Linked DNA regions of Stegostoma tigrinum. The protein of the gene in region 1 purifies or fractionates together with the protein of each later gene. This does not show direct contact. Links are inferred from orthologs where the notes say so. Each region holds a gene or a part of one and is shown on either strand. Other genes may lie near its edges.

Evidence for each region.
Region 2: the proteins of pold3 (region 1) and sprtn purify together in Homo sapiens (affinity purification with mass spectrometry; 3 studies listed by BioGRID, with this or other methods). This does not show direct contact. The link is inferred for Stegostoma tigrinum from reciprocal best matches to the Homo sapiens genes POLD3 and SPRTN.

The regions. Positions count from the first base shown.
Region 1 is NC_081359.1:111,414,235-111,424,668, reverse strand, and holds the start of pold3 (DNA polymerase delta subunit 3), read left to right. Parts: upstream 1-6,333; 5' UTR 6,334-6,363; coding exon 6,364-6,444; intron 6,445-6,853; coding exon 6,854-6,909; intron 6,910-8,513; coding exon 8,514-8,616; intron 8,617-9,853; coding exon 9,854-9,893; intron 9,894-10,434. UniProt on the Homo sapiens protein: Accessory component of both the DNA polymerase delta complex and the DNA polymerase zeta complex.
Region 2 is NC_081357.1:94,378,524-94,388,648, forward strand, and holds the start of sprtn (DNA-dependent metalloprotease SPRTN), read left to right. Parts: upstream 1-6,284; 5' UTR 6,285-6,326; coding exon 6,327-6,571; intron 6,572-7,133; coding exon 7,134-7,233; intron 7,234-10,125. Other genes in the region: exoc8 (exocyst complex component 8), read right to left, coding at 3,435-5,639. UniProt on the Homo sapiens protein: DNA-dependent metalloendopeptidase that mediates the proteolytic cleavage of covalent DNA-protein cross-links (DPCs) during DNA synthesis, thereby playing a key role in maintaining genomic integrity.

The DNA.
Region 1 (10,434 bases):
AAGGTGACTCAACAGGTAGATGAGAGGAAACTGGTTGATGTGGTGTATATGGATTTCAGCAAGGCGTTCGATAAGGTTCCCCACAATAGGCTATTGTACAAAATGTGGAGGAATGGAATTGTGGGAGATATAGCAGTTTGGATTGGAAATTGGCTTGCTGAAAGAAGACAGAGGGCGGTAGTTGATGGGAAATGTTCATCCTGCAGACCAGTTACTAGTGGTGTACCGCAAGGGTCGGTGTTGGGTCCACTGCTGTTTGTCATTTTTATAAATGACCTGGATGAGGGCGTAGAAGGATGGGACTGTAAATTTGCAGACGACACTAAGGTTGGTGGAGTTGTGGATAGTGACGAAGGATGCTATAGGTTGCAGAGAGACATAGATAAGCTGCAGAGCTGGGCTGAGAGGTGGCAAATGGAGTTTAATGCAAAAGTGTGAGGTGATGCACTTTGGTAGGAGTAACCGGAAGGCAAAGTACAGGGCTAATGGTAAGATTCTTGGCAGTGTAGATGAGCAGAGTGATCTCAGTGTCCATGTACACAGATCCTCGAAAGTTGCCACCCAGGTTGACAGGGCTGTTAAGAAGGCATACAGTGTTTTAGCTTTTATTAATAAAGGGATCAAGTTCCGGAACCAAGAGCTTATGCTGCAGCCGTACAAAATTCTGGTGCGGCCGCACTTGGAGTATCGTGTACAGTTCTGGTCACCGCATTATAAGGAGGATGTGGAAGCTTTGGAAAGGGTGCAGAGGAGATTTACTAGGATGTTGCCTGGTATGGAGGGAAGGTCTTACGAGGAAAGGCTGGGGGACTTCAGGCTGTTTTCATTAGAGAGAAGAAGGTTGAGAGGTGACTTAATTGAAACATATAAAATAATCAGAGGGTTAGATAGGGTGGATAGGGAGAGCCTTTTTCCTAGGATGGTGACAGCAAGCACGAGGGGGCATAGCTTTAAATTGAGAGGTGAAAGATATAGGACAGATGTCAGAGGTAGTTTCTTTCCTCAGAGTAGTAAGGGAATGGAACACTTTGCCGGCAACGGTAGTAGATTTGCCAACTTGAAGTACATTTAAGCCATCATTGGACAAGCATATGGACGTACTTGGAATAGTGTACGTTAGATGGGCTTGAGATCAGTATGACAGGTCGGCACAACATTGAGGGCCGAAGGGCCTGTACTGTGCTGTAATTTTCTTATAAAAACCTTCTCTGGATCCCCTCCAACACTAACACATCGTTCCTCACATACAGGGACAAAACAGCTCACAATTTTCCAACTGCGGTCCAATCACAATCTTATACAGCCTCAGCAGATCGTCTCTGCTCTTTATTCTAGCCCTCTTGAAATGAATGCTAACATGGCATTTGCCTTCCTGACTGCAAAATATTTCTGAGCTAGGACTCCCAAGTCCCTTTGCTCACTAACAAACATGCTTCAAAATCTCCCCGTCCCCCACCACATCCCAAAACCAGCCCAGTTCGTCCCCTCCCCCCACTGCATCCCAAAACCAGCCCAGCCTGTCTCTGCCTCCCTAACCTGTTCTTCCTCTCACCCATCCCTTCCTCCCACCCCAAGCCACACCTCCGTCTCCTACCTACTAACCTCATCCCACCTCCTTGACCTGTCCGTCTTCCCTGGACTGACCTATCCCCTCCCTACCTCCCCACCTATACTCTCCTCTCTACCTATCTTCTTTTGTCTCCATCATCAGTCCGCCTTCCCCTCTCTCCCTATTTATTCCAGACCCCTCACCCCATCCCCCTCTCTGATGAAGGATCTAGGCCTGAAACGTCAGCTTTTGTGCTCCTGAGATGCTGCTTGGCCTGCTGTGTTCATCCAGCCTCACATTTTATTATCAGGAAGATAGTGACCTTGGTTCTGCAAGAATGACCTTGTTTGTGGTAACAAATGATACTGTTCCATCACTTTGTTGATGATTGTGAGCAGACTGATGGGGTGGGAATTAGCCAAGTACTGAGGAGGTGGGGAAGCTGCAGAAAGATTTAGACAGTTTAGGAACGTGGTCCAGGAAATGGCTGATGAAATTCAATGTGAGTAAATGTGAGGTTTTGCATTTTGGAAAAAAGAATACAGGCATGGACTATTTTCTAAATGGTGAGAAAATTCGTAAAGCAAAAGTACAAAGGGATCTGGGAGTGTTGGTCCAGGATTCTCTAAAGGTTAACTTGCAGGTAGAGTCCGTAATTAAGAAAGCGAATGTAATGTTGTCGTTTATCTCAAGAGGGTTGGAATATAAAAGCAGCGATGGGCTTCTGAGGCTTGATAAAGCTCTAGTTAGGCCCCATTTAGAATACTGTGTCCAATTTTGGGCCCCACACCTCAGGAAGGACATACTAGCCCTGGAGTGTGTCCAGCAGAGATTCACACGGATGATCCCTGGAATGGTAGGTTTAGCGTATGATGAACGGCTAAGGATCCTGGGATTGTACTCATTAGAGTTTAGAAGGTTGAGGGAAGATCTAATAGAAACTTACAAGATAATGTATGGCTTAGAAGGGGTGGACGTTAGGAAGTTGTTTCCGTTCCATTGAAATGCCCATCAGCCATGATTTAAATGGCAGAGTGGATTTGATGGGCCGAATGGCCTTACTTCCACTCCTATATCTTACGGTCTTATACATTTGTACTGTTTTTTGGTGCACAGAAAATACTTCAGATTCATAGAGTTAGTCATCGAGTTGTATAGCACAGAAACCCAATGGTCCAACTCATCTATGCTGACTAGATATCCTAAATAAATCTAGTCCTATTTGCCAGCATTTGGTCTATGTCCCTCTCAACCCTTCCAGATGCTTTTTCAATGTTGTAACTGTACCAGCCTCCACCACTTTCTTTGCCAGATCATTCCAAACATGCACTGTGAAAAAGTTGCCCCTTAAGTCCTTTTAAATCTTTCCCCTCTCACTTAAACATATGCCTTCTAGTTTTGGCTTCCCCACTCCAGGTTAAAGGCCTTGTCTATTTATCCTATCCATGCCCCTCAATTTTATAAACCTCCATAAGGTTATCTCTCAGCTTGCGACGCTCCAGGCAAAGCAGCCCCAGTCTATTCAGCCCTACCCTATAGCTCAAGCCGTCCAACCCTGGCAGCATCCTTGTAAATCTTTTCTGAACCCTTTCAAGTTTCACAACATTCTTCCTAAAGCAGGGAGAACAGAATTGCATGTAGCATTCCAATAGTGGCCTTACCAACATCCTGTATGTCTGCAACATGATCTTCCAACTCCTATACTCAGTGCATCGACCAATAAATGTAAGCATACCAAATACATTCATTACCCCATCTATCTAACTGCAACTCAATTTTCATGGAATAGTAACCTGCACTCCTAGAAAATCTGCCACATTTTTGGGTAGACGCCAATGTTGTGGCTACAATAGAACACTTGGCTCAGTAAATTTGTAGCTTTTCAAATTTTGGAGCACAACTGTTCATGACCTTTGCTGGAACGTTGCCAGGACCCATTGACTTTGCACTATCCATTAACTTCAACTGTTTCTTAAAATCATGAAGTGAAGTGAATCAAATTGATTGAAAATAGGGAACCTTCACAGGCTGAGATGGATCATCTATTCAGCCCTTTGGATTGAAGATGGATGCAAATATTTCAGCCTTGTCTTTTGAAATGATGTGCTAGGCTCCTCATCCTTGATGATGGGATATTTCTGAAGCCTTTTCCTCCAATGATTCACTTACTGACCATTACTGTTCACAACTGGATTTGGCAGGATTGCAAAGTTTAGTTCTGACCTGGAGACAATAAGGACTGCTGATGCCCGAATCCAGAGTCTTCAGACCCTTAGTTCTGATCGGTTAGTTGTGTAATCCTAGTGCTGCCTAATACTTGTCATTTGGCACACAAATAGTCCTGCGTTATAGCTTCATCAGGTTTTCACCTCATTTTAAGATTTGCTCAGTGATGCTGCTTGGAGCCCTCCTGCACTCTCCATCGAACATTGTTACTTAAGTGGAGGAGCAATTCATGACCCAAACACATTACATTGGACATACAACCTAAGGGGACTCAGTATGAACCTCAGGAAAATCACATCAATGCCATTGTGTCACCTGGCCCAAGTCTCCCTTGTTGGTTAGCACATTAAATTTTGGAGTTGGGAGGTCATATTCTGTTCTTCCTATCAGAAAGATGTTGTGAAACTTGAAAGGGTTCAGAAAAGATTTACAAGCATGTTGCTACATTTGAGGATTTGAGCTTTATCGAAAGGTTCAATTGGCTAGGGATATTTTCCCTGGCAAAGGCTGATGGGTGACCAGATAGAAGGTCAGAACGACCACGGACAAGGTGAATAGTCAAGGTCTTTTCTCCAGGGCATAGATTTAAGGTTAGAGGGGAAAGATTTAAAACAGACCCAAGGATCAACTTCTTTCATACAGAGGGTGGGGAGTGCATGGAATGAATTGTCAGAGGAAGTGGAGGAGGCTGGTACAATTGCAACATTTAAAAACCATGATGTGGCATGTGTTGGACTGGGGTGGACAAAGTCAGAAATCACAAAACACCAGGTTATAGTCCAACAGGTTTATCTGAAATTACAAGCTTTCCGACTGCTGCCCCTTTGTCAGGTAAAGCCCTGATGAAGGAGCAGTGCTGCAAAAGCTTATGGTTTCAAACAAACCTGTTGAACTATAACCTGGTATTGTGTGATTTCTAACATATGAAAAGCATCTGGATGGGTGTAGGAATAGGAAGGGTTTAAGAGGGATACAGACCAAATACTAGCAAATGGGACTAGATGAATTTAGGATGTCTGATTGGTACGAACAAGTTGGACTAAAGGATTGGTTTCCTGCTATACATCTATCTCTGTGACTTTATTAAATTTTGTTTTATCGCTACTTGGGGTAAAAGTGCCACTGGACTGGAAATATTAATCCTGTTTTCTCTGCATATATGATGCCCAACATACTGACTTTTTCCAGCAATTTTGTGCCCAATTTCCAACATCCACAGTTCTTTGATATTTTTTGTTTCATCACCACTTGGGGACCACCTTGGGATATTTCAAAATCAAAGAATGGTCACAGCATAGTAAAGTACCATTCTGAGATAACAAAGTGTGAAGCTGGATGAATGCAGCAGGCCAAGCTGCTGTGTTCATCCAGCTTCACGCTTTGTTATCTTGGATTCTCCAACATCTGCAGTTCCCATTATCTCTGATCACAAAATACCATGCTAGCTCTCTTCAGAAGCATTTTGGCTAGTGCTACTACCCTGCTTTTTCCTGTAGCTCTGCAAATGTTTCTTTTTTCAGATTATCCAATTACCATTAAAACCTATCCTCACGACATTTTCAGGCAGTATATTCCAGATCTTAATCCCTTGCTTTGGGAGGATGCGTTTTTCCCCTCACGCCTCGGTTTCTTCTATAGCCAATTCTGTTAAATCTTTGTACTCGTGTTCTTGGTCTTTTCACCTGTGGGAACTCCTACCTACTCCATACAGACCAAAGTTGTTTTTATTTTCTTTTCCTCCCCTCCTTCTGCACGGACGTCGGAGGTCGGTTATCTTCAGGGGCTTCCAAAAGCAGAAATCATGCAACAGCCTGACGATCTATGGGAGAGGTTCTGGGCAGTGTTCAAAGGAAAGTTAGTCGGCACCTCTCATCAGTTCGAACACCTCAATCAAATCTCCTCTGACCTGATCTGCTTCAAGGAAAACAGTCCCAACCTCTCCCATCTATCGATGTGACCCAACATTGACTATTACAAGTTTATAAACAGTGAGACTCTGTACTGGGTTTCTAATCATCACAAAACCTTCAGGCAGATAGTGAAATTCAACAACAAAATGTGAGGCTGGATGAACACAGCAGGCCAAGCAGCATCTCAGGAGCACAAAAGCTGACGTTTCGGGCCTAGACCCTTCATCGGAAAACGGGGATCCTTTATACCGCAATGCATTCTAATTTCATAGGCTCTTAAATAAATTGAGCTTGAACCGAGTTTTGAAAATTCAAACATTCCTTACCAATTCAGATGAATGTCACCAGCTCAAACCTGCAGCGTCGCCATCTTTGTAACCTTTAACCCCACCGCAATCCTTCGGCAGTAAAATACTTTATACTCATTTGCCCCCTCGTTGGTTCATGTTTTGCAATCCCCATGAAACGCCCTTCAGTAAAAAAAAAACAATGATTTTATTGTACGGTGATTTCTTTTCAGGGGTCCGGGCGACCGGCCTGGTTGCCGGGGAAACAGGCTCCTGCCAGCCGATGACCCTTGACCCCGAGGTTTCCACCGCCCCGCACGCGCAGGCTCCGCCCGCCGTAGACCCCGCCCCGTGACCTCTCACCCCTCCTCGCTTTCCCGCTTCGGCCGCGATGATGGAGGAGCTTGAGCTGCTGTTGGAGAATATCGAGGAGCTGGTGGCGGATGAGAACCGGATCGTGAGCGGGGGCAGGGTGTGAGGGATTATACACCCGGGAGAGAGGGACGGGGTCCGAATACACACCCGGAATATGTGTGCGCGCGCGCGCGTCCGGGATGCCGGGGGGGGCGTGTAAGGGGGAATATATATACCCGGGGTGGGTGGGTACATGAATGGGAGAATGTATGCCCAGGATTGGGGGTTGGAAGTGTGAGGGAATACATGGGGGGAATGGTGTTGGTGCGGCGGGGAATATACACCGCAGATGGGGGATATTCCCCCAATGTGGGGTTGAATATATACTAAAGAGAGCAGTTGCAGGGAAATATGTTGGAGTAATAGGAACATATGTCCTTGGTACGGAATGGATATACACCCCATTTGAAATGTAATTTCTTGTCTTGCTGCTGTACCTGTTTTTCTAGTTGGATTTTGTTTTTCAGGTCACCTACAAGATGCTGAGCCAGTTCCTGGGCATTCATGTCAACCAGGCAAAACAGTAAGTTCAATGATTTGTGAGACACCTTGCGTCACATTCCACCATCAAATAGTATGCAACAGAACCACTTCTCACAGTCAGATTTCCTGGAGAGGGATCCCTGTGTCACCCACATCTGCGGTGAGGAGTGGAGGGAATGGGCCAAATGTGAAGAGATTGTGGGTATAACAGTTGTGTGTGCTTCATTAGCATTTTGCTATCTGGCATCCTTATTGTTGTAAAACATGTTGCAATAGGTCTTGATAGCCTCAGGTAGGAACAGATCAGATAATAGGTCAACCGTAGTTCTTTCTTTTCATCTGACATAAATTGGAATGGTATGCATGTTGTGGACATATGTGTCACAGTTTGAAGGATGTGTGTCACACTTGTAAAATCTGACGTTAAATTTTCTAATATTTGAATATCATTTGTAAGAAAAAGCTTGCATTTATATTGTGGTCTTGTATAATAGAAGGTAAGATAATATTATAAGAGCAGGCATAGGCTATTTGGCTACTAGGTATAATCATTGCTGACCATCTGTTTTAGTACGCTGTTCCTACTTTGCCTGTGTACCCTTTGATCCCTTTAGTCCTGAGAACTATATCTAATTTCGTTCTTGAAAGCATTTAATGTTTTGGCCTCAACTGACTTCCGTGTCAGAGAATTCCACAGACTCACCAATCTCTGGGTGTAGAAGTTTCTCCTCAACTCAGTCCCCATATCCTTAGATTGCCACTGCTGGTTTTGGACATTTTCCTCATTGGGAAATCCTTCCCAGTTCCCAGCATTTTCCCAGTCCAATCCGCTTATAATTTTATAGATTTCTGTGAGAAAATGCCAGTAAATATAATCCCAGCCTGTCTTGATGCTTCAAGACCCGCTGAGGTTTTCCAGCACTTTCAGTTTCTATTCCACATGACCTCCCTGTTTACCAAGTCTCTGTTCATCTGTGTCTCCTTTCATGGCTGAGTGCCAAGTTTTAGATTTAATAGTTGTGAGATGCTCCGGAATGTTTTTCTATGTTAAAGTCGAGTTTAAATGCACTCGAGTTTAAATGGATGTTATTGAGAATTCTGGAGCTGATATTTTGAGTTTCATAGAATCCCTACAGTGTGAAAGTAGACCATTGGCCCATCAAGTTCACACCCACCCATACCCAATTCCCCTGCCTCATCCCTGTAACCCTGTATTTCCCGTGACTAATCTACCTAGCCCACACATCTTTGGACTCTGGGAAGAAACTGGATCACCCAGAGGAAGGCCATGCATGCAGATATGGGGAGAATGTGCAAAATCTACACAGACAGTTGCCTGAGGGTTCCTGGCACAGTGGAGCAGCTGGGCTAACTCCTCGGCCGCCCAAGATTTAGTGCCATTTCAATTGTTGCTACGTATTGGCTGCCCATGGCTATCTTCCTGTTACTAACTTTAGTAGCCCTCTTTTGCTGAGAGATTCTGCTAGGGTCCATTAAGGAGTTTGTATGGATCTTTTAGCAACTGCTTTTGAAAACAAGGTTTGTCTGCCTGGTTGTGAGACCGATCTTGTTCACCAGTTTAGCTTTGTTGCAAGAGGTTTTGTACCTTTAACTGTGTCATTTTCTCTTCTGTCTGCTTCCCAGAATGCTTTATTACTACGTGGAGCGAAAGCGGAAAGAAAATTCTGGAGCCCAGCTCCATGTGACGTATCTCGTGTCAGGGAAAGCAGTCGAAAATGGAATATCGGTATGTCTATTTGGAACAATTAGTGACATCAGAAAAGTCGACATTAGGAATTGTCAGGACCACTTTTTCACATCCTCTCACTTTTCTATTGTGGAATGCCTAAGGGCAAATAGCCCACCAAGTTTGTGGATTTCATCGCAAACAAATCGCATTCACCTCATCTATCCTTTAAGACCGCTCCCAGTCTAATCCCACTTTTCTGCTCACTCCATGTATCCTTTAGTTAGATTATCAGAAGTAGGAGCAAGGGGAAAGTATTGATCCGTCAATGCAGTTTAGTCGTTCAATAAGATGACAATTGATATGATTACAACCTTAACATCATTTTCCTGCATGTCTCCCCTTCATATTTCCCCCACCATGACTACCACCACCACTCTCCCTTAACCTTAACACTACTTGTTGGTCTGAAATTTGCCTAACTCACCACTGAATATAGTCAATGATCCAGCCTCCACTGTTGTCTGACGTAAAGAATTCCAAAGACGAATTATCTTTTGAGAGAAGAAATGTTTCATGTATCCACCTCAAATGAGAAGTTCCTTATTTTGAAATAAAAGCAAAGTATTGAAGAACTGAAATTAAACAAAGTGTTGAAGAAACTGCAGATCTGGCAGTATTGGTTCTGAAGAAAAGTCATTGCACGCTAAACATTAATTCTGTTCCTCTCTCGCAGATGCTGCCAGATTCTAGTACTTTCTTCCCTCAATTTGAAATATCCTCTCAGTTTTCAATGTCAGAATCCCATAGGATCTTGTACATTTGAATGGGGTCACCTCTCATTACTAAACTAATTATTCAGCCCCTTTTATGATAATCTATAGCTTTATCAGCCTAATTACTCTACTCATTCTTTAAAATATGGTCCCATGCTTGCTTCGGGGATGCATGTATCTCTGGTGTGCCGCTCAGTCACATACAGTAAGAGAATCTCAGGTTCCAGCCTTGATCTGTACTGAATTAGCTGATCTCACCCAGGACATACTTGATTGCTACAGTTGGGCTCAATGCTGCTTGCTGGGGAGAGACTTGCTTCCTGATCTCTGTTACAACAGCACCCTCCAACATAAGCACTGACAAAGATTACAACTGGCATCACATCATCACAAAGGCTTTCTTAAGCAGAATTGGTTGTATGGGCTTGAGATGCTGAGATGTGGCCTGGTAGTCTATCCTTGGATAGAGAGTTTAACTGGCTGGCTGATCACCCACTAACTCCAATATTGCTTTATTCCAGTGTCACAAGGTAGCAGTGGTGAGAGAAGATCAGCTGGAAGGTAAGAGTAGACACCTACACTTAACCCAGTTATCCACATCTGCAAGCCCCTCAAGGCTTTGACCAATTGTTTCTTGGAGACAACAGCATCTGTCTTTTGTGATACTGTGATCCTTCTGCACCAGGCACAGTGCTCAAATTGCGTGTGTTGAAATGAGAAACATCAACTCCCCCTCGGGAGAACAGAGAAACTAAATAGTTCTATTTTGAGGTGAGAAACCCGTTGGGCAATTCTGCCCTTTGCTCATTGGCCAGTTTGAAAGAAGGAAATAGATGTTCTGACTTAGGAGTTACACAAAGTTTTCAGGTACAGCACATAATCGAGAAGGCTAATGGAATGCTATCCTTCATGATGAGAGGAATTGAGTATAAAATTGACAATGTTCTGCCTCAATTATACAGAATGTTTTGAGACCACATCTCAAGTACTGTGTGCTGTTTTGGCCTCCTTATTCAAGGAAGGATACAATTGAAGGTGGTTCAGAGGAGGTTTACTGGATTGATAACTGCAGTAAGTGGGTTGTTTGATGAGACTAGTTTGG
Region 2 (10,125 bases), on another chromosome or scaffold:
ATAAACCATCTTCATACTTAAAAACAATATTTACTTTCTTGAAACTTAGTTTACTACAGTCTTTGAAAAACAAAAGATTTACCTGATTGATTTTAAAAAATTCCAAAAACTTGTAAATAACCATGGTGCAGGCCAAGTCATTATGTGTATTTAAGACAGAGAATGATAGCCTTTTCGTGCCACAGACCCAGTTCAATTCCAGCCTTGGGTGACTAGGTGTGTGGATTTTGCACATTCTAACCACATCTACTTCAGTTTTTGCTGGGTGCTCCAGTTTCTGCTGGGTGCTCCAGTTTCCACCCACAGTCTAAAGATGAGCAGGTTAGATGGATCAGCCATGGTAAATGCAGGGTTACAGGGATAAGGTTGGGGGGTGGGGGTGGGTCTGGATGTGATGGTGTTTGGGGGCTTGAAGGGCCAAATAGAATCCCTACTGTGCAGAAAAAGGCTATGAGAATGGGGTTGAGGAACATATCAACCGTGAGCAAATGATGGAGCAGACACCATTGACTTAATTCTGCACCTTATCTTACTGTCTCATACTGTATGATCTGTCCCTGCCAGAGAATGTGGTAATGGCTTCCTGTGCTACTGTTGAAAACAGGAACAACTGTAAATTGCCAGATATTTACTTAGAATTAAAGGTAAAATTTTGAATGTGGCCAATTTATTGCACTTCTTTAGTCCTCAAAAGTAATTTATTCGAAATAAGGATTTTTCAAACTTAGGAATACGTATTTTACCAATTTCAAACAGACTGCAGTTTAAAACAGTACCATTTAAAGAACAATGATTCTTGTATTTAACAATTTTAAAATAATACATTGTAGCTGTAGACAGCCCCACTAAAGCAGCTTTTCTGAGTAATTGTCTGATTAACTGAACAGATTATCAACGTCACATCTACAACTTGGCTTTTGGTAGTACAGAACCTGAATACTGCTGAAGCAAATTATATTTAAAAAGGACAAATAATTTCATAACACAGGAAAATAATATTTAAAAGGGCAAATAACTCCATAACACACGTAGGTTAAACCATAGGACATCACTATGGTGTCAGCTTTGGTTCCGTGCCCAGCAAATAGCCGGTTCACATTAGACATGAGCACAAGTCCTAAGTGAACAAACTTAGTGCAATACTGAAAGAATGCCATATTGGTTGCAAGTGCTCAAATGAGGGGCCGTATGAACCATCCATTCACTGTCTCAGGTGGATACCAAACAAAGAGTATGGGGGCTCTCTCCAGTGTCTTTGCCAACAAACATATTCCACAACCAATGTCAAACTTAATCAATATCATTATTTACCATCATATAATCACTGTGTTCGGGACCTTGCAGCGTGCAATTTAACTGCCACATTCCTTTTAACAGTGGTTACACTTCAAAAATACTTCTAAGTGCTTTGAGCTGCAAGCAGTTGTTGCAAATTCATTTTTTGTTTCCAGTATATTTTTTTGTTTATTATTTTCATTTCTAGAAACTGTGCATTGCAAACACATATCAAAAGTAATTCGCCTTACTACATTTTATTGTGTGTAATGTGAAAATGTTTAAACAAAGAGTATATTCAGTTTCTGTGATCTATCAGAACAAGTTGGACTACTGTTACAAATCCGAAGTCTTGGTAAGATAGTCCAACATGTAATGAATTTTAAGAAAATAAAACTGAAGGAGTGAAGAGTCGTTATCTATGAATTCTGCCCAACAAGTCATGTGCCTTGGGTACCTCAGAGGCTGAAATGCACTGCCAAGGTTAACCTTAATGACAAAGGCAGAAGCAAAACAGTCTTCTTATTGCAAAGTTCGCCTAAAAAGACTTAGAGAGTGAGAGCATGAGTGAGAGAGAGTGCGCTCTGTTAGTTACCAGGCTAAATCATGAAAAACAGCTTGACCAGGGTCAAAGAAAACAAACCCGCAGTAACTAACAGGACACTGGAAGATTTACCCTTGTGAGGCTATGAGGAGAAATCACCCTTAGGCCTTAATGATAAAGGTTGGTTTGGAAATTCTCAAGAGTACAAAAAAAAAGGATTTCGGACAGTTGCTCCATGTTACATTGCAGTGAAATGGGAACATGTTGAAAGTTGGGAATAACTTTGAACTGTTTACTGAAACGACTGCAATTTTGCAGAAAGCATGCTGTAACTATATGGGTTGGAATTATTGGCCATATTTAAAAAAAGGAATAAGTTTTCTTTTCAGGAGATTAGAACATCAATTACCAACTTAGTAGTCAAAATCAATTTTTGTTTGGTTTGATAGCAAGGGTCAATAATAAGATTTTTATAGGAATTCATTTATTTATTGTGAAATGTCACCAAGGTGCTTCTCAACACGTTGGAAAACAAAACTTGACAGCATGCTACATAAGGACACATTAGGGCAGGTGATCGAAACTTGGTTAAGGCAGGCGGGATTTCATTAACACCTTTCTAATTATTACTCCAGATTTACAACTATGACTGTAAATCTTCCACAAGTTAAAGATCATGACTCTGAATTTACACCAATGCACTGAGTGCATACAACAGCACTACAGGCACTGAATTCAAATACAAAATATATTTCTATAGTTGGCGCATGCAAAAAGAAAGCAACCGTGGGAGCTGTCTTAATTCTTTCAGGTCATCATATCTAACAATGAAGAAGTGCTATTTCAATGAGCTGCAAATTGATATCAACAGCCAGAACCAATAAATCTAGACATGTTCAGAAATAAAAAGAAACTAAAATCAGATGTTAGAAAAATAATCATTCACATTGGGATTAGTTACAACCTACAATTCTTTGCCATAAATTAAACTAAAAGGGGACATGTTGGTTGAAAACAGACTTGGTCAGGACGGTGACACTATGTTAGAGTAGCATCAATGCATACTTTAAGATATAATGCCCTGTTTCTGCGTTCAACATGCCATGACTCTATGAAACAGCGGTCTCCGCATGTTTTAGTCGTTGCTGAAATAGATGTACTTCCCTGTGACTTAAAAGGCTGAAACTCTTTTTAAGTGTTCCATAATTCTGAGAAGTTTTAAAAAAAAACCCAGTTTTGGCATTTAGAATTCAAATGTAATCTTCCTATGCTGAATTCTGATCAGCTGAACAGCAAAGACTTTCTCATCAAGTTCAATTGTTCTTGCATAGCGGTGTTCTGATTAAAACAAATACCAATACTGCCACAAGTGCTTTTACTAGTGGAATACAACAGGACACAAAAATACAGGACAGGTGAAATTGAAATTGGCAGCTCACATCTACTGGAGAACATTGATCTTCATGTTGTATATTTATTAAGGTAGCGAGTTCATGATGAGTCCCACAAACAATGTTTATGCAGCATTAGTGTTGAAGCAATTAATAAAAAAAAAGTGTATGCTTGTGCAGGGAATGTCTGCAATCATTGGTTTATCTGTAAGTGCTCCTAGAGTTTATACAAATGAATTAGTGCTTTCTGGATTGACACGAATGATTCGAGATCCATTGCGGAGATCCTGGAGCTGCTTGGCTGGTGTTCCAACTCCTTCCTCAAACCGTCTCTCCACCACAGGGAGCACAGTCTCATACAGGAATGAAACATTCTCACGAATGAAGACTTTCTTTTCTGGGTCCTGCTCACAGCGCAGGCTGTAGTCAACATGCTGCACTGCCACCAGGATGATCTCACGCAGGCTTTCCAAAAGGACCATGTGCAGCTCAGGGAAGTATAGCTTCAGCCCTTCCTCCAAGAAGGCCATCAGCTGTTTTGTGAAGGCCACAATGGTGTAGCTGAGATTGACCCAGCAGTCATCTCCAGTGTACTGATCAAAATTGGTGATTCCACTGGCTTTCATCTCCTCCTTCAATTTTGCCAAGGCCTCCGGTGTCATCAAGTTCATTCTTCGCCACATCTCTTCTGAATTTCTGTGCTTGGTGGCCTCCATGATGATGCCCTTGTAGCTGTGCAGGGCTGCCTTAATATCTTTGACGAGCAGTGCCTGAAGAGTAAAGGTGAGGTCCAGGCCGATCTCACTGAGCTTGCTGCAGTGTTCTTTGGCCACCTCCACGCACTCAGCTGTGGTGGACAGGCTCTCCTTGCTGTCAAATACCTGCTTGCTGAAGGCATCCACAAACAGCCGGGTGGCTGAGCGTGACCACACCACAAAGGCCGAGTAACAGCCACTGTCACCAGCAAAATCCATCTCAAATTCCTTGGCCGTGTCCAGCAGGCCAGTGAAGAAGATGTTGCAGAGTTTGTGGATGTACAGCAGGGTAGCTCCCTCGATGCGCAGCTGCCTGATTGCTGTCTGCACTGCAGCTGCCCGGTTCTTCAGGAAGAGCTCGCAGGCTTTAGTGGACTGACCCAGCCGGATCAGCTGAGAAACAGCACGGCGGGTTGCCCGTGGACCACCTCGGAGCGAGCGGCCAGGGGATAGCTCATACATCAGCACATCAGTCAGACGGCGGACCCGCTGATCCACACGACTCCTCAGCTGGCGCACCGCGGGCTGGCTGGTTGCTCTACTCAGGTACTCGTTCAATTTGTCCAGTAAGTCAACAGCGCCTTCAAAGTCCCGCTGAGCAATACAGACATCCAGGTCTTCGGGCAGCTCTTGAATCCATTCCAGGCTCAGGTCCACCAACTCCATGGCTGGATCAGACTCATCCTCAAATGGGTTAGTTTTCGGTGACAGAGGCCTCTGTTGCTTCTCTTCCTCGGCCACCAGCAGCCGGGCCTTGGCTTCCTCTTTCTCCACCTCCAAGCGCTCAGTCAGGGCCTTGTTCTTCTTGGTTTGGTCCAGGATCTCCAGCCACTCCTTCTTGACCTTGGCGTTCTCGGCCTGGAAGACCCGCGTGTCGGGGAACATGAGGATCTTGAACATGTCCCGCATGGGCCCGTTGTCCTTGACATTGACCACGGCGAAGCTATCCAGTGGATACAGGGCGTCGTAGCGGTAGCGAACAGCCCCGCGGCGGCTGGGCAGCCAGGCAGCCACCAGCAGGCAGTCGTTCATCAGGAAAGCGTGCACCCTCTGGATCTGAGCTGCGCTCTCGGCATCGCACTCAAGCAGGTCACCGTTGTAGACCAGGTAGCGGCCCGGGGTTTGCAGGATGTCCTGGCAGCCTTCCACCTTCTCCAGCAGGGTGGTGAGGGTGCGCTGCTTGTGCTCCTCGGCCTCCCGGGGCAGGATAAGGAAGGCTTCGGAGGAGGAGGAGGTGGAGGTGGTGGTGGTGGTGGTGGTAGTTGTGGTGGAGGAGCCGAGAGAGGACGATGAGGTCCCGCCAGCCGTGCCCATGGAGGCTTGCAGCTGGCGGGATCCCTGTTGCTGCTGCTGTTCCCTGTCGGCGGTCAGCAGCATCTGGGTCAGGCCGTCCATGATCCCCTTCTGCTCGGTGAGGATGTGACTGAGCTGGTACATCTCACTCTCCAGGTAGGAGATCTCCCGGGCCGTCTCGATAAATTGCCGGTAGTTCTTGTAGACATTCTTCTTCAGGTTCTGTGCCGTCTCATCGGCCAGGCTCTGGATCTTGTGTCGGTGCTCCTGCAGGTCGCGGTCACCATCTGACTGCTGCGACAGCTGCTTCACGTACTGGGCCGGCTCGAAGCGGGGGGTTTCCAGCTGCCGCCGGAGCCTGGAGGCCACGTCCGCCGCCATCTTGCCGCCGCCGGTGGGAGGTTGATTTAGCCACCCCACCACAATATATACCGCCCTCGGGTTTTTCACAACTGCTCCCGTCCGGCCTCCACGCTCGGGGGCCCTGCTCTCTGCGTCAGGTCGCTCCTCCAAACGACTACCGAGGCCTGGGCTCCGCCGCTCATCTGCAGCCTCCAATTGGCTGGCCGTCAGCAACGACCCGCAGTCCCATTGGTCACACTGCGCCAATACTGACTTCTGACTGGTGCGCCGCCAGCAGTAATCCGCTCTCCTATTGGCCACGCTGTGGCGGTTCCGGCGTCCGATTGGTTGCCGTGCTCCCCGTGACCCGCAGTCCCATTCGTCGCTCTGACAGCTGTCTAGATCATGATTGGCTGTCTGTCTTTAATTGTGCGCTTGCATGAGGAAGAGTCACCGGAACTCTGATCTTTTTCTTCACAGATGACCAGACCTGCTGAGCTTTTTTTTGTGCTTGGCTGTTGATTTGCTTCTCCAATGCTGACTTTGCATTGGTTAACGTTGGTAGTCCCATTCTGATTTGTCATTGGGTGGCCCGTGGTATCATCCTGCGCTGCCATTGGCTGTTATGTTTGCGGCTCCATCATGTGATTCGCCAAGTAAAGGGAGAGGCCCTACCTCCGTTTGTCTACGTCAGTTGGGTGGTTGCAGGAGGCGGTGCTGAGCGGTATGGATGGTGATTTGTTGTTGGCGCTTCAGTTGCAGGCCTCCTGGGACGAGGAGGACCGTAGCGATGCCAGCTCGAGCCCTGGTATGGTCCCGCAGCCTCCGGCGTCTCTGTCCGTGGTGGACCCGGATTGGGAGCTGATCGACCCGAACCCCGACCTGCACGGCCTCTTCCTGCAGTTTAATGACTTGTATTTCTGGGGCCGGCTGTCCGGGGTGGAGGTTCGCTGGAGCCCGCGGATGACTCTGTGAGTTGTGGATAGGCCGCGGCTTCACCGCGGTTTGCTGAAAGGGGAGTCGGTGCTTCCCGCGATATCCCACTCCCCTGTCTCCTTGTTGAAGCCGGTCAACAAAACTTAGCGTCAATATCCAATCCAGAAGACTACGGCACAAATAATAGCTGACTCTGAGAACTGCAGATGCTGGAGTCGGAGATAAAACAGTGTGGAGCTGGAGGAGCACAGCAGGTCAGGCAACACCAGAAAAGCAGGGGCCGAAATGGCATCTTGCCTGCTCTTCTGATGCTGCAGTGCTCCTCCACCTCCACTCTGTTATCTCTACAAATAATAGCTGTACTTTTTTCTTGCATGTGCTGAAAAGACCTGCTCATTGAAGGAGGGAATCTGGAATCTTGAATCTCAATTTTTGCCATCTTTTCCTTTACAAAAAAATCGCTCTAAACAAAGTTGGATAGACTTGACAATGCACTTTTGACATCTGCATTAAATCTTCACTCTTGTTGATTGTTTGTGCTACTTGCTGTTTCTCATGCTGAATAAATTGAGCTTACCTACTGTGGATCTGTTACAGTTGTGCGGGTGTGTGCAGCTATGAGGGCAGAGGAGGATTGTGTTCTATACGTATCAGTGAACCTTTGCTGAAACTGCGACCCAGGCGAGACTTGGTTGAGGTATGTGCTGATTGTGTCAATACTGTGACCTCTGGTATTTCCTTCCTACAAGAAGTAGGCTGGTGTGCTGATAAAATTCTGATTTCACTTCAGACTTAACTTCAAACATTATTTGCAGCCTCTGTTCTGGCATTAAGTGTGCCTGGTCAATTGAGTCTACTCTACAAGTAGGCAGTTCAGCCTGTTAACATACTCTGTAATTTAGTTAGCCTGTGACTGTGTTCTCTTTGCAACACTTTTTTTTAGAAATTGTGGCTGGTGAATCTGTGGTCCTAACTGCACTGATCTCCCCCAGGTTAGGAATTTCTTCTGCAAGGATGCTTCTGTGGAACATGATCCTTTCTTCAGGATAGTGTTAATGATGGAAGGTCCATATACTTCCCACCCTCCTTGCATTGTAATAAGTTCAAGGCTGCTCCCTCTGTTGAAAGTTTTTATAGTTCTGAAATTCCAAGGGTATCAGGTTTGCATTACCTCAGAAATCACTGATGTAGTGACAGTAACGTGTTCTCTGCTAAGGTGGTAGATTTCCATATTGTAACTTCAGATAAATGACTGATGCAGAGGGACATCTGAAGAAAATGAATTTAAAAATCTATGAACGTAAACTATTTTTCTTGCTGTCTGGCTACTTGTCCCACATGTCCATTTATCCTATAAATTGACATTTTTGAGGATAACTGGTGGGGTTAAGCTGCACAGCTTCTGCTTAGCAAAAGCTTTTTTGATTTTGACTGAGGTGTCTGTCTAGCTTGTTTGAGCTGGCTGAAATGAAAATATTTTAGCGATGAAGCAAACTATGTATTTATTGGAAACACAAGCCAAAGGGCCACAGATGCTGGAAAGCCAAAACAGACTCTTGTTTACAATAATAACAAACCAGAAATTACAGTAGAAACTCAGCAGGTCTGGTAGTTTTGAAAGATGGGTCACTGGACTTGAAACTTTGATTCTGCTTTCTCTCCAGATGTCACTGGACCTATGTTTCTTCAAGTTGTTTGTGTTATTGAAAACACAAATCTGTTCAGATTTCCAGCATTTGCAGTTTTTATTTTTATTATATTTTTATTGGAGTTTGGGGATGAAAGTGATGCTTCCCTGTGCAAACATGAAAAGCCTGATAACTTGAAGAAAACTTCTTTTTAGTAACTCTACCATTTGTAGAGAGGATTTCTATCTTTTCTGCAATCCCTCAGTCATGCTGCTTATCCTTCCATAACCAGGAAGAGGTGCATCCCAGATAACTGGAATCACAGAAGCAACTAAATCAGTCTTAACCGGAAGTAATGAAAGTATCTTGCATCAAATCCTAGCTGAATTTCACTTGCTACACACAGTGGAGCACTCTGCTAGTGAAGAGGATAATTGTACAGGGTTTCAAACTTACAACAGGTCGGAGCAAAAAAGTGGTTACATTTGGAAAGGTAGTACGATGAATATTTAGCGAATTCAGTTGCAAGTATGCCTGGTGTAATCTCTGGGAGACTTCAAAAGCTGAAGTAGAACTCCCAGTCAGTAATAGTGAGGCAAATCTCAAATTTGGCCATGACTACTTTTTTGTTTGGACCTTAACTACTTTTAGTCTCAAAAACTATGGATTTTTAACTTGATAAAGTGGGGCATTTTTATTTTAAAGTGAGCATCTTTTATACCTCAGATGTACATACAGATTTCATGCAGTTTGAGCTTTTTAAATGGTTGTATTGGCATCCATTGAAGGCAGTTTGCATCAATATTGGTTTCTTTCCAGCTTGCTCCAGGCCAAATAACCATCTTAAATCCAAATTCCCTTGGAGCTTTTAGTATATCTTTTTTAACTGCAATCTCAGATAAAACCAGCAAGTCATATCCCTTAAGTAACAGGTTTACTGTATTATTGCAGTCTTAGCAATGTACAAGTAATCAGTTGAGGGTGCAAATGAGATGACTGTCTTAAGGTTGCATCATATTTAAGTAATTTAATTCATTCTGTAATTAAAGTATGTGTGCATACCCATTGCATTATGTTTCTATTACTCAGGTGTGTTTTTACACATTGAGGACCTCTCTTAATTAACTGGAATACTTGAACAATAGATACATCTTATTAAAGAGGTTGACCCCACCCCAGCCTCTGATAACTAACTGAAACCGAAACACCCTAGAGAAGATAGCCTCTCCTCCTCGTTTCTTAGAGCAAGTGTGAAAAGTGATAGTCTGCCTCTCACTGCCCAATCTGTTATAAAGGGGAGGTTAAATGAAATGAGGTCCTGACAGTCTCACTCTAGATCAGCAAGTAACAATTTAACTACTCGAACCATAAACAAATAAACATAACTACTTAGAAACTGAACAATTGTCCCCCCTGAACTAGAAACTATTCCAGGATAAGACAAAATTCTATTGGTATGCTATAGTAAATAGAAGTCCTACACTTATAAATCAAATTTAATTAAAAAGTACTTAATCTCTCAATTTACAACTAGAAATGTCTTCTGGAATGTCTAGTGCCTTCTCCACTGTCCTTCAGTCAGGCGTGCCTTTCCCTGTCAAATTCTTGCCAGGAATATTAGCTGGAAATGTCATAAGTTTAGTCACATGATGGTTTTAGAGAGCTTGGAGAATTCTGAAAGCCAGTGTTTTTTCTCCTCTTGGAGCTGCTGGTTGTTAACTTTGAACAGATGGCAGCTGCTCACATACCAGTTTTTCAAATGATCTTTTCTTGTATACCCTTGATGACCTCTTAATTTCTTACAAAAGGTTGTCAAAACCATCACATTTAAATTTAATTGGGTTTTGGTATCTAGGGCCTGGTTTAAATTAATTAGCTAAATTCAAAAACCTGTTGTTGGAGTAAAAATGCTGCTTTGTCTGCTGACAGTATAGCCTTTTTGGTACATTGTTTCAGTTTCA